Neodiprion lecontei: one gene and its partners. The protein of the gene in region 3 purifies or fractionates together with the protein of the main gene of each other region. This does not show direct contact. Links are inferred from orthologs where the notes say so. Each region holds a gene or a part of one and is shown on either strand. Other genes may lie near its edges.

What was found.
Region 1: the proteins of ribonuclease P protein subunit p30 (region 3) and ribonuclease P protein subunit p40 purify together in Homo sapiens (affinity purification with mass spectrometry; 3 studies listed by BioGRID and IntAct, counting the BioPlex papers as one, with this or other methods). This does not show direct contact. The link is inferred for Neodiprion lecontei from reciprocal best matches to the Homo sapiens genes RPP30 and RPP40.
Region 2: the proteins of ribonuclease P protein subunit p30 (region 3) and ribonuclease P protein subunit p29 purify together in Homo sapiens (affinity purification with mass spectrometry; 4 studies listed by BioGRID and IntAct, counting the BioPlex papers as one, with this or other methods). This does not show direct contact. The link is inferred for Neodiprion lecontei from reciprocal best matches to the Homo sapiens genes RPP30 and POP4.

The regions. Positions count from the first base shown.
Region 1 is NC_060261.1:34,620,692-34,625,377, forward strand, and holds the start of ribonuclease P protein subunit p40, read left to right. Parts: upstream 1-1,677; 5' UTR 1,678-3,581; coding exon 3,582-3,701; intron 3,702-3,823; coding exon 3,824-3,968; intron 3,969-4,381; coding exon 4,382-4,546; exon of another isoform or gene 4,547-4,632; coding exon of another isoform or gene 4,633-4,686. Other genes in the region: uncharacterized protein LOC107219723, read left to right, coding at 1-98; uncharacterized protein LOC107219755, read left to right, coding at 4,633-4,686. UniProt on the Homo sapiens protein: Component of ribonuclease P, a ribonucleoprotein complex that generates mature tRNA molecules by cleaving their 5'-ends. Also a component of the MRP ribonuclease complex, which cleaves pre-rRNA sequences.
Region 2 is NC_060262.1:35,015,081-35,020,468, forward strand, and holds ribonuclease P protein subunit p29, read right to left. Parts: upstream 3,469-5,388; 5' UTR 3,268-3,468; coding exon 3,216-3,267; exon of another isoform or gene 3,072-3,215; coding exon of another isoform or gene 3,065-3,071; intron 2,976-3,064; coding exon 2,836-2,975; intron 2,765-2,835; coding exon 2,374-2,764; intron 2,080-2,373; coding exon 1,943-2,079; 3' UTR 510-1,942; downstream 1-509. Other genes in the region: required for meiotic nuclear division protein 1 homolog, read right to left, coding at 4,010-4,204, 4,398-4,755, 4,893-5,112. UniProt on the Homo sapiens protein: Component of ribonuclease P, a ribonucleoprotein complex that generates mature tRNA molecules by cleaving their 5'-ends.
Region 3 is NC_060261.1:32,863,947-32,867,970, reverse strand, and holds ribonuclease P protein subunit p30, read right to left. Parts: upstream 2,185-4,024; 5' UTR 2,021-2,184; coding exon 1,927-2,020; coding exon of another isoform or gene 1,923-1,926; intron 1,811-1,922; coding exon 1,593-1,810; intron 1,460-1,592; coding exon 1,391-1,459; intron 1,298-1,390; coding exon 1,097-1,297; intron 1,024-1,096; coding exon 956-1,023; intron 819-955; coding exon 739-818; intron 671-738; coding exon 522-670; 3' UTR 506-521; downstream 1-505. UniProt on the Homo sapiens protein: Component of ribonuclease P, a ribonucleoprotein complex that generates mature tRNA molecules by cleaving their 5'-ends. Also a component of the MRP ribonuclease complex, which cleaves pre-rRNA sequences.

The sequences.
Region 1 (4,686 bases), about 1.8 Mb from region 3:
ACATTTTCTCGACGATGACAAAGACTCCTGGAGCTCGAGCCAACGGCGACGTTGCCGAGGGGCATGACCCCCTAATTCAACGCGCACCTTTCCTCTGACGTCACAACCGTGTTACGTCACATTGTGTGCGGGGTTACGAACCTTCGATTAAACCAGTGAAACGCCTTTTCTTAGCCTAAAATATCCACAGTTGTGTGCGATATACGCAAGGCTTACGAAATGTGCAAACATGTGTATATACGCAGTATAAGGTGCGCGTATCCGTCACGCCGCTAATTACGCCGCTAAGGTGTATTATATTTGACAATTAATTAAGGTACGGTGTTTGACCGGGAAGAAATTGAGGTGTTGCATAACAAGAATGATAAATTAGAATGCGAGTTACCTATGAAACGTGAAAACAATCTGCATCCGAGAAATACTTTTCTTTTTTCACTCTTTGTCGGTATCCGATTACAGGAAACAAGATTTTCCATCAATATGAAGATCACCGAGAACAAAGCTACGATGTTAAATTTCTGTATCCCTCGAAATAATCTTTGTACAAAATCAAATTATTTCAGAGGGTTATTCAACTTCCGAGAAATAACTCTTCCGACTTAAGAGGTTTTGACGAGTGTACAGGTATACAACAATTTTCACAGTATTTATTTACTTGTTTGAGACAAATATTGACCCCCGTAAAATTAGTATCTCAAACCCTTGGTAGAACTTCTTCTCTACGGTCTGGGGAAAAAGAAAGACAGATTTCGAAACGAACTTTTTCAATCCTTTCCTTATTGTATAAAACGATTGCCTCATACTTTGGAAAGGAAAAAATTGCGTCCCGTATTTTTGAAGAAGAATCCTCACTTCGAATTCACAACTTTCGTATCAAATAATGAACTTTGGCAATACTTTAAACATACTCATATTATGACGGATATAATTATATTATAGAGATTCAATTTCATCGGGCTAATTGTGCCTGAATGAGAGAAAACGTTGTTCCTTCTCATAACAGTCATCGAGTAACATTCCGTAAAGCATATAACAATATAAAATAAGCAATTGTAACGAATAAATTTTGAGAATTGAAGTAGAATTTTAATTCGTGATACGCACGAGGATTGATTAACGAATTGACTTCCACGAACTTTTTATATTGCTAGTACTTCTCATCTAACAATTGTCCACATTCTTCGCTGACTTGTATCCCCCAACCCCGTTACTTTTATTCATTTCAGAGAGCTTATTATTTATTGCTCACACGTTACATACGAATCATTGTCCATATAATGCGCCAATAAACGTCAAGTCGGCAAAAATGTGGAAAATTGGATAAACACGCAACTTTGCGACTATACTTATATACTACCTCAATCGTGGGAAGTTGATTTACCCACGTGTATATCTATGTTTAAAAAACATGTCTGCTATCGCTGCAGGAGATATTATATTCCCGGAAATGCGTTCGTACTGTAGAAAAAAAAACCATCCGAATAAACTATGTAACAAAGACTAACGAGAAAATGAATAAGTGTGGAATGAAAGACGGAAACCAAAAAACTCGCTATAAGAACCCTGTGTAATAATAATATTAATGTAAGTGACGAGAATATTTTATTATGGTGTAAAATATACACTATACAATTGAAATGAAAATATTCCAATTTTATTTGTATATAGTGTAATATACGTACAAGTATTTACGTTACTTTATACGAGAATCAAATAGGTATTTTAGGCTGTGACGTGAGTAATGTATCGAGAATATATTAACACGAGTAAACTAATTAGAACATTAGAAGAATAAAATTATAGCTTTCTTTGCCGTATTTATATTCTTATTTATTAAATATACGAATAATGATGAAAAATCCAGTCGAATTTGAGTGACAGGATATTTGATTTTTGACGCAGGTACGCGAAAATACGCCATTTTGGTATTACGGGTTTCGCTCGAGATTCAATCAAAACAATTTCAATTCATCAACACGCGTTATAATTGGAGAATTTGTCGTGTATGCGTCAATCGGTTTGTACGTATTTTAAATATACTTGATTTGTACGGGTATTATTCCTAGGTATAGCATTTGATGTGTAAATTGCGCCGGTCGCAAGTGGGGTACATAAAAAAACAAAGAAAACTATATTGCAAATAATATGGTGTACTATTACTTATACATATAATTATGGGCATTGTTACGAAAACGTACACGTCTCTGCTAGTTTCGTAATAAAATGAGAAAATAATAAACGGTCGATTATTTGTTTCATAAGGACAAATAACTCATTATCTTATCTTCCTTGTTTCTTAAATCAGCTGTGTCGAATGAAGTTTCGACCGTGCGCAGTAACAATACAATGCAACAATATACGACCAGTCACATGTAATACTTTGGTAACCATAGAAATGGTTCCATTCTACGGACACATTGAAAAATAATCAACTGCCGATCAGCACAAATCGTATGAAAAACTCACTTACCAGTGCTTTGGCACCTCGTCAATTCCCTCTTCGAGTTGCCGATAATTGTCTTTCACATCGACGCGTGCAACGAATCATTTCACAAAATTGCAATAGAGCAAGCAAATCAGTTTTTTGAACATTAATCACACGTATATTTATTCGAAAAACAAGATGGATTCTGAGGAAACGAACATCCGAAATAACCGAACTAGAAATCGCGCCTGTTATACTCACGTGTTGATCGAAACAATGGAGAATTTATATTTGTACCAACGCGAGTAAATCCAATTCTACGATTAATTATTACAAGGCAGCCTGTCAGTATCTATAAATTATGTAAACCGCACTGATGCCGACACGTGTTAGTTTCTTTTGAAAAATTAATGAAACAAATGCACATCGGCGAGCTACAACGAATTCAGATCTAATTTAACAGTTGCGACCAACTTCATGGACAAGGTTGCAATATTACGAAATACCAGATTCATCAGACGATGGAAATCTATGTTGAATCAGGGAAAAATTCCGGTAAAACTAACCGAAACCGGTGACTGCTGATTGTGAAACTAACACACCGAGTCCTGCAAACGCGACGCGTTCTGACTTGTCAACTCTAGAATCTAGATGTTCGATGTCGCGTCAGCTGATGCTCCTTTGTTTGATATAAGGGAGCGCCGTTTCGACGCACGCGGCGGTTGTTGGAACTAACTTTGTAATAAGTTTCTAGGCTTCTGTCTAAAGGGTCTAAAGCCAGACTCGAAGAAATTTAATGCGTGGACTGTACTACATACATGCCTATGTATACCGTACGTATGCATATATCACTGATCTGTGGTACGTACGCATGAGCGCATATGCGACGGCCGTCACAATAAAGTTTAATTTAATACATAGAAAACAGCTGTTCGAAACGTAAGCGTACGAAGTTTATCTGAATTATTTTCCATCGTTCCCAATACGAGGATCGCTGTATTATGTCAATAACGAAATAAAATACAATACAAGACTAGGCGTAATACGCAATTGGATAGCTTTTCGGTGTTTCCTTGGTTCTTACCTTTCTGACTGACAATAACCGCAATGCCTGTTCGTACGACGCGGTGTACGCATTTTCATTAATAATCGGGAAATGCTGTGCCCAGAAGTGTGGGACTTTAAAGCCCCGCAGCACTACTTCAAGGTCGATCATTCGGATTGTTTAACAAAGAACGTGACGGGCGTGATTAGAAAACACTATTTCAACCACTCGGTAAGCGGTATAACGCGATCTCGCGATTATAAATTATAGGTTAGGTTGATTTTATTATGCTGCGCTGCGTAGCTGTAACGAGAGATTTACGTAATTTTAAATAATTCTTGGATTATTGCCAGGTATCTGTCGTCATTCCTGATACAGTTAATTTACCACCGCATTATTTCGAATCGTTCAACGAAGACAACGACTATTACAGAGTCAACAATTTATCAGCATCCGAACTGGTTGACAAAGAATTCATCGAGGCCTTTGTGAAAAACGGTAATTCAATATTTCCACCAATTTTTCATTATAATTTTAAAACACTTCGTTGCACTTTTTCTACTCTTGATTTCCCGCCGGTGAAACACTAATAGGATGGAAAATTTTCCGTGTTTCTTAACTTACAATCGATCTGCAAACGCCATTTTTAGCAAATTTTCAGAACCTTGTATGCATTTGTTTATCAGCAGGTAGTTAAAAAAAATAAACTGTCCGCCACGGAATTTTCATTTTTCCACTACTTCTTTTGACAGAAACAACTTTTTCTTTTCGCCATCAGGTTTAATTATACAGAATTATTTTCAATAGCATCTGTAGTAGATTACTTTGCATGTATGCAAAAATTATTTAACAGAGCTGCCTTTTTAACTGGCTACTTTTTGTAACTGAATATCATCTAAGAACAATTTCAGGTGAGGTCAGTGTGCTGGCAATAGAGAGTCACATCGACACCCAGAATTCACTCGCTGTAACTCCGTCTGGCCATTTGATACTTTCCTTGGTTAAAGAAGATTTCCAAACACTCGGTATCGAGGGAAAACCTTCGTTCTTCGACCGTAATATCAAAAATCGCTTTGGTGAGTTATTGGAAAGCTAAATAAAATCTCTAAATAATAAAGGATAAGTGACAAACGGAAAACTTAAGGGGTATCAGATTGACAAAATGCCAAAGAAACACCAAATAGCTTCGCTGGAAGAATTGGCCCTCAGGTCGGTT
Region 2 (5,388 bases), on a different chromosome or scaffold from region 3:
CTAGTAAAACTAGAAACATGTATTCTATAAAACATCATCTACCGCTGTAATAATTGTCAACTATTCAATCTCAAAAAACGTCTCATGTAAAAAAAAAAAAAAAAAAAAATGAAAAATAATTATTAATACAGTTATTCCTAAAAAAAAGCATTTTGTGGGCGCAACAAAAATTAGTATTAATTAGAGGATTTATGAATAATTGAAAAAATAAAGTATATAATATGTATATGGTATGTTCATTAGGCTGCTTTACATAATTGAGTAACAATAGTATCGAATTGACAATTTACCGGGGCAATCAAGAACGTTGAGGGGGGCTATAATTATATGTCCTTGACATATCCGCAGTTGTTTAATGGCAGAATTTTTTACATGGCTATTAAAAAAATGATATGCCCGAAGTAATGACACGATTTAAAAATCGTTCCGAATTATTTAATAAGCTCCAGTTTACGCTGTGCTAACAGTTGATCTGAATACAATAGGCTTAAAATTTTTTAAGGAAAGTGTCTTCCTTAATAATCGGAATTGCATGGATGACAGGAGCAAGAATATCAATTGATTTTTAAATGATGTTAATACTGCGATAGCATTTGTCCACCACACTTCAATAGCAATCATTTAACCTGTAAAAAAAATGTTGAATTAACATTTTATTGATGATTCATAGAAATAGTGGCTGATTTGTCATTTAAATTAAATTCGGAAGCTACCGTTCTATAGTAGCTGAATAAATATTTACAGTGGTACGTCGCAAAATACCTATCTTTTGCCAGCATACTGTGTACGTTTAACTGATCCGTTGAAAAGTGTACTGACGGCATGATTAACACGTTGATTATTTGGAAAAAAATTGTTTCAATAAGTTATACGCCTTAACGTAACGCAGTGATAATTGTAGATTGCCCCTGATTATTGAATGGGACAGTGAACACGTAACACGAGTCTGATTCGGTGGGTATATGAACATTAATCCAAATCTCATGACAAGAGCATCGTTATTAATTATTAACTGCATGTTGAGGGATGCTTTAAACTCAAATACACTAATTATTTCTCGTGAGGGATCGATTAGGGTAGAATTCTTAGTTGCGTTTCTGATTCTTCAGGCCTGTGTAATTGGTTTACTGATCCTTTAAATTATGGTAAATAAATTGTAAGAATTCGTTAGGAACTGGTGGTGCGTGCGAAAGGTACGCGACAATCCCAAAACTCCATCATTGCACTTATCTTTTCAACATAGCTAAATCAAATTGATCGTGAATGAAATTTTTGGAAATGAAGTGGTTAGTGATTTATTATTTGAATAAGGATTTAACCAATCCGCATCGCAAATTGTTATTATAATATCATGATTATTTGAATATTTTGAAATACTATTATAACTAATTATTGCAAAAAGCAAACAAAAAAGCAAGGATTATTAGTAATTATACATATATATTATAAATATATAATTATATTATTATATATTATATTGGTATTTAGTGTAACATGTAAGTAGTAGACAAAAATATGATATGAATTAATATTATTGAAAAAAAAAAAAATGAATAAATGATACAAAAGGTAATTATCGAGAATGGATGATCGAAGAACTGGATTGCATTCAATTGTTTTTGCTGTAAGATATAACAACTGTGTCAAGTGGATATGCACAGTGAGAAATAAACAAATGCCTGTTTGACGAACATATTTTCATTTTCTTATCATACACATTCCCATATTAATTAACCAGTAACAAATGATATTCGTCACTAAACATTTTTTATAAAAATTATAAAAAAATTAAAAATTAAAATGCACAACGTACTTGTTAAAGATACAATTTTATGCACGTATCTCTTGACTATGGGAAAGCCTCATTTGTGATATTTGATAAGTCATTAAAAGTACTCAAGAAAATTTTAGCAATATTTGTATTTTCATAATCGTAATTATGTTATAAATCAGGTACACGAGCACTTTTAAATTTTTTCACTGATCTCTCAGCAGGTCTGACACACAACTCTCTGCCAAACAATTGTAAATTCACATTGCCCAAACATATCTTGAATACAGCTGTGTCTTTTGGAATTGCTACAAGAAAAAAAAGCGTTAATATTTTCATGATGGTTTACAGAAAGCAACTTTAAAATCTTTCATTGTATACTGCTAATCGCATATCTTTTCTTATCCCTTTTCGTTCTCATCGAATAATATACTTAAGTGCATGTAACTAATGAGGATGTCTTAACATTTTTTTGTAGGCTTGTGCAAATTTTGTATGCATGGTAACTTTAGGCACAAATCTTGATAAATTATTCAATAAAAATCAGAAGTTTTGTTTCCAATAGAATTAGATTTCAATGCTAAAATTCAGAGTTGTCTTACTTCGGATAATACTATCCTCTCCAATAACTCTGAAGGTACATTTAGTGTCTTGCAATACAATGCCATGAATGCCTACCAAACTTGGGCATTTAGATCTAATGACAACAATTTTTGCTCCATGGAAGTCAGCCTTTAGCAATTGTTGACCAATGTTGTCCCAATTTGGTTCGACTGGTCCTTGCGGTAAATCAGTGAAATTGTTAACACCAAGCATTTGTCGCATGTATTCTAGCCACAGCTGGTTCAATGCTAATGCATCAACGTATTTCAAGTTAATCCTGTTATCCAATTTATTTAAGCCAAGTTCTGATCTTTTTCTGGCTGTTAAAAATGTTACCTTCTTTGGTTTACGGCGAACATGCTTTGTTCTGTATTTGTTGAAAGTGAATGTCTGAAAAGTGAAAAATGTTAAAAGATGACTGATGAATGGAACAAAGGAAGTAAAATTTTTATTCTTATTACCTTTTTCAATTCTTCATTAACTGATTTAGTATCTGAGGGTGGTAAGATATTTTCTAAAAGATTTAAAAGATATTCACTGCGATCCGTCGATGTTGTTGCACGGTTAACCACTGACACTGGAAGTTGAAGACACACGTTGTCTGGAAGAATACAAATTACGGATAGTTGAATCTGAATATGAACAATTCTGTATTGCAGCTAATTAAAACGTTCAACAAAGGCATCTTACCCGACATGGTTTCAATAAATTTTCCGAAGATTCTTGCTGCAATCTAACCTAAACTCACTGTGTTTCCCCTCCCTATAAACTCTCTCTAATTCCTACGATATAAAATCGAAATAAATAATGTGTGATCAAAACTTGAATCACGAATGCCTACCAAAGAACAGAAATGACAGATCATAAGGTCCCACTTGAGTTCTAGTTAGCATAAGCAATCACGAATCAAACGCAGCTGTCACGTGCACATCGCACGCACATGGTAAGTTGACGAGTAATTGACGTTTATGGTTTATAACATGGTGTAGTTTATGACAATTTATAAGAAAGGCAGGAAAGTAAAGTTGGCCTGCAACATAGGAATTTCGTGAAAATTTTTAAGAAATTCGAAGTTCACAGGCTAGCTTCATATACCTAGGTCGATCTGACCTTTGGATCTGACATGCAGCGACACATGTTTACGTTTTCGATTCATCTCGATTTGAAAATTTGAAACATCGAGTCGCCTTAAAAATTCTTTTCGAAAAATATTCATATTCTTGGAATCTGCAGCTATTTCTATCAAAAAATGTATTTAGGGTAGAGAATTTTATTTTTCTACTTTGTTTTTATTTTGTGTAACAGATAACACATGTTACACAGCATTGAAAAGTCAATACGAAAGTTCTCAAAATTAAAATTAGGCAATGCCCCTATAATGCATGAGCCTGATAACTAAAATAAATCTAATCATCATTACAACAGTTTTCAATTCCTTATACATTTGTTTCTCTTATTATTGTAAAGACAACATATGTGGCAAATAACAAATAAGTAACTATTTATACTTTATAAACGCAAATTATCTATATATTTACAGTATTTATAACCTGCTATTGTAGAAATTACTCGCTGAAAATGATATATATATATATATATATATACATAGATATTTTAATTGATATTAGAGTGTAACTAGGAGGTCAACACTTCAGATGTTTGGGGTTGATCGGCAAAATAACGATCGATGTAATGTAGTATTTCAAATACTACCTCAACCATAATTAATACAATTATCATCCATTCTAAACGAACGTGATGACGATCGCTAAGATGGGATGACAAAAGTTCTACAAGTTCAACGCAATGATTCAGTTTCTCATTCATCACCTGTGGACAGAAATCATGTATATTATTCTATATAAAATATTGGTCAGATCCATAATTGAATTTATAATACAAAGGTAATCTAAGATTTCAATTCGAATTCGTTAACAATGGAGAAATGTTTAAGCAGTTTTATATTTCGCTAGTACGAAATTAAATTGATTGACATATTGTGTATTACTATAATTTCACATACCCGAGTACGTTTGGCAATACTGAAATAACTACACGTTTGTTGGAATAAATTTTCCAATTCATCTCTTTCCCAGTAAAAATCTGGGGTATCTAAAAGGTCGGAACTCAAGTTGATCATATGCCTGAGCGCAAATAATTCGCCTTGCTTTCGCAGAACTTCTTCTCTGCTCATTTTTATTGGACGACCAGATTTCAGATCATCAGTAACAAAAGCAATTGAATCCACATAACGGTCTAGTGATGCTTCCCATATGCCAAGTTTGACAGAGAGTGCAATTGCATTTGAGAATGTGTATTTATCCAAGTCTGTGGCATTTGGTGCCAACATGATATTTCCTTCTTTCAAATGGCTCTTTTTACTGTAACGTATACCAAAAATCAGGTTGTCAGGTACATACATTGAGCATCCGTTAATTAGGACTTATATCAATCGGCAATACAAATTGGAATAAAGATCGGCGCAATCAAAAACACTTCAACCATTCTGATATCTTACCTAGATTCTAAATGCGTGTACAGCATTAGTTCACTCTCTGACTGCACCAGTTTATCAGCATAACTATGTTGTTCATAGGATTTCAAGAATCTCAGTAAATTTCCACTTTCAAGTTCTGACATATTCCAAAAAACAACAGTTCCTTCTCGGAAAAAGTAGACTTCACGGGGCTCTGTTTCTACCTCATATTTAGCTACTGCGTGAATCACATCTGGCATTGCTGGAATGTAATAACAAAAAAACATATATTGAACGATTACTAGCAGTCTATGGTTTAGTGGCTTTTTCCTCTTCATAGATAATGCTCTGTTGCAATTCTTTTATTATTCTTCTGCTTTTGCGATATAAATAACATGTGTAAAAAGACTAGGTAAATGTGACATTGTGAATTTTACTTCATTTTTTGGTTCAGCACCCTGTTTTGGTATAGTTCCGAAAAGCCCATACCGATCAATTTGGAATTTCGAATGCCCATGTATTTTGGCTCACTGATCAG
Region 3 (4,024 bases):
AGTTGAAAGGTGTTCAAAAGGAGAATAGTCTGTAAATAATTTGCTTCCGATAGCAATTAAAAATCTATAAACTTACAGTAAAAGTTTACTTTTGCTCATTTTCATTTCCTCTTTGCATCATTCTGTTTAGAAACAGTTCGAGTCTGTGTTCGTCTGTGGAATGTATAATATGCTATCTGTTCAATATTGTTTTTATTATTATCCCTATAAAGTACATTAAATACGAAGATTTTTCCAACAATATGTAAAACTGTGGATAATTGCGTTAAGAAAATTTTCGTTGATATGTTAATGCTAAATTAAGATTAAATTTAATTTAATCATAACAGATCTTAGATATAGCTACCAGATGTAAAATACCAATGGATAAGTGTGTAAATTATTTCCCCCGCTAGTAATAACAAAAAATAAGTACATATTATTGAAATACCAGTTATGTAACAAATCTTTATCTTTTAAAATATAGTCTACTCAAATCGTATGGATCAATTTTATTTTTCACAAATTACTCTCCCGACTGATCACAGTTTTATTTTTTTTGCTTCGGTACAAGTGTCACCATGTTCATCGTCTGTTTCCTCCGCTTCTATTTCCATTTCCGATTCCATCTCTCTTTTTTCGGTGCTACATGTTTGTATTCGAAAAACTGCTTTTCCATAGCGTCTTCCTTCTAAACTCAGTGTAAAAATATGTCATTATTGTTATTAAAAAATTTCTATCATAATTATATCGACCCACCTGCTCTCAAAATGACATATCGACTCTGTGAGAGGATTGAAGCTTTAGCTTTTGTCTCATTCATTCCCAGAATAGAAGCTCTAGCATAAAAATGACTAAGGAATATAACAGATGTAGAATCAGCACTCAATAATTTTCAAACCACCAAACTTCAGAAATTGGCTACTGTAATACCCAGTTGAATTCAAATATACTTGATAAATTCTTCAAAGGATACAAATTTATTATATCATAAGGACTCCTAATTTGGGTTTCAATTGAAGCTCCGCTACTGATGAAGATGTTCTGAAAGAATAACCATGATGCAGAAAAATTTTGACAAGCAGGTGCCGATCCATTTATAGAAAGAAAAAATTACTTTGCTTTTGCCAAACATGTGGAACAGATGGGAGTAATGTATAGCAAACTTTCTGCTCGCACTACTAATAACATCGCAGTACTGAATTTCAAAATTAATTCCTCTCTCTACAGCTTGTAAATATAACTTCCTGCTCAACTTTAGCCCAACACAATTTCTGTTTAATAATACGATGTCTGTATTGAGTTGGGAGCAAGCAAACTGGAAAAAAGAAAAGAAGTATCAAGAAAATCATAAATTAATCCGCAGTACCAAACTTATATAGTAGTCATCGTGCAAATCTTACCAACGTACCTGAAATGCTGCTTGTGTTTTAGGTACAACAGCGTATAAGTCATACTTTCTCAGACTCGATGATTGATTCTGAAAATATTGAACAAATTTAAATACTTGAATTCAAAAAAATAAATTAAATTTAAAATACCTATTCTCAGTGCCTTAGAATTGCTGAGATTATATCGGATCAACTTTTTACAGACTTTTATAACGTGTTTACCAGCGTATGGGTTCTTGTGGGATCTCCGAACACGAACGTAAGACGATTTAAAATACGAAGCTTTCCAGCATATTCTGAAATTAGATCAGCGATGTCTGGAGGACTCGGGACAGTAACTCCCAGAGCTTCATTGTCACCGGCCTTTTTCTTGTTTTTCTTTTCAGATTCGAAAACTGTCTCTTCTATTGTTCGGTTGATTGCTACTGTTGAATAACCCACTGGTGAGAATTGAAGAAAAACATTACGATATGTCATAGTTGTAGATTCTGATTGATCTTCATTTGTTTTCTATTTACATCAAATGAAATGAGAATTTTTGTTCATACGTACATACTTTCATATAATTTATCCAGCACTTTATGTAATGTATTTTTATTTACAATTTCTGCATTTATGCATAGGTCGCAAAACCCGAAAGCAGTCTCCATTTCAGTGAATAATTACATTCACCAAACGTGGTAATAAAATATACACAATAGTATTGAACAGCTGAACCACAAACAACGTATAGAGTAACGAAGGTATACTACGTTTAACGAGAGAACCAAAGTAGAGGATCACACGTGCACAGACCACTGGATCTCTATTATAACTAAAGATCAGTGGCACAGACTTTTTCGCAACGCCATCTGGTGACTCTGAGAAAAACTAATCGATAATAATCGGTATGTTACACCGGTTACGCGGCTCGAATCTTCGACTGCGGGGACTGGTCGGAGGTGGTTGAGTACTTATAAGAGTTCTATTTGTGCACGGTTGAACGTCGTTTCGTGTATGCATCGTTATTAGTTTGTTATTTTAATATGTCAAACAATGCCACGTTCCGTTGTGAACAATTCTGATGAAGATCACAAAGCCAAAAACGGTAAGCCGCAGTTCAAACTTTTGTGTGAATATCATTTTTATCACAACCGCCAATTGTCTGACGACCGTTACGATTTCAAATATGTCTGAGCGATAACATTGCCATTCTTTAATCTCCCTCGCATTTTTTTGCCTCGTGAACGGTCCGTACCACGTTTTCGTACATGTGGAATCGCGTATCGGTGCAAACATAATTGGAATAATTTTAATCGAATCATAGATCTTCCTCAACCTAATTTTGCTGCTCTATGTACACGGTGACCTAGCATCAAGTGACCAAACTGATAGGGGTTATATAGGCGGTTGAACTGAGTAAATTAAACGAAAGAACATGTGACCTACGAAGTCGCGTTCGCGAGATACGACCGGTTAAAAGAGATCTCGCTAAGCGCTGGCATATAGGCAACCGAGTATACATCAAGCCGCGGATAGCGATCCTTGTCGACATTCGCTCGAAATTCAATAGTTATGCAATTCAATCGCCAGATTAAAATTTTTTATTGATTCACGGGATTGTTTATGGGGTATAAGCAAATATTGCTTTGCTCATTTTACACGTATTATTATGTAGGAATCGACGACAATTAAATTTAGTCGTTAAATTTGTAATGAAGCGACATTGGAATGTCGTTGAAAGTTTGTTTGGGAGTAGAAGCAAGTCTAATCATAATGGACAAAGATATTTCAGAATTATTTACCACTTCTATGATATTGGAAAAAATTATTTAAAAAAATGTATACATGTCTGAAGTTGTATCCAGCTGTCTAGGTCATGACATGTTGTCACCTGGCAACAACAATAGCTGGATTAGAGTTACTTTTCGATTATGAACAAAAAAAAATGGGTTCTATGGATGACAGATCTTGGAAGTATATATAGTGATAAACAAAGTTGTCGTAACATCATTAGAGAAAATTGTACTTTTGTATTATTATACATATACAGGTACAATGTAGTTTAGTAACGTTCAAAGCTTTCACATGGTACCTGTAATCACTTACATGGTTTTGGAGATCAGTTTCTAGATACCGGCCAAGCGAGGACCTAAAGGTGAAAATATTTGTTTAGATCTAATCTCACGAATGTATTGAACGACATTGAATGTTATGTTTACGAGTGCCATAAATATTTGGAATGTTTGTTCCGATTTTCTGTTCTATTCGTTTTTTTATAAACTTTTTCAGAAACTAGCTTTTCTTTCCATAAGACTTGTTCGTTTTTTTTTCTTCAGTAACGTCATTATTTTCGGTGCCAACCTTACTCATTTCGAAGAGTATACGATTTTTTCACAATAACACTACGCGACGTTACCAAACTCTGAAAAACCTAATAGACTATCCAGGCACGCAACGCAACCGAATTTTGACTGGCTGCGTAACGTCGTTAAGCCTTGATGAAAAACAAATCATAAAGTCTCATAAGAATTTGTTGAGAAAACTATGTGTATCTGTCACTAAAATTTCTCATAAATATTGGTAGCCGTTTACTCAAACTCAACTCATAGAGTATTATGAGAACCTATCAGAAACGGTAAATTGATATTTGGAACGATGGTTCTTTGTCAGAA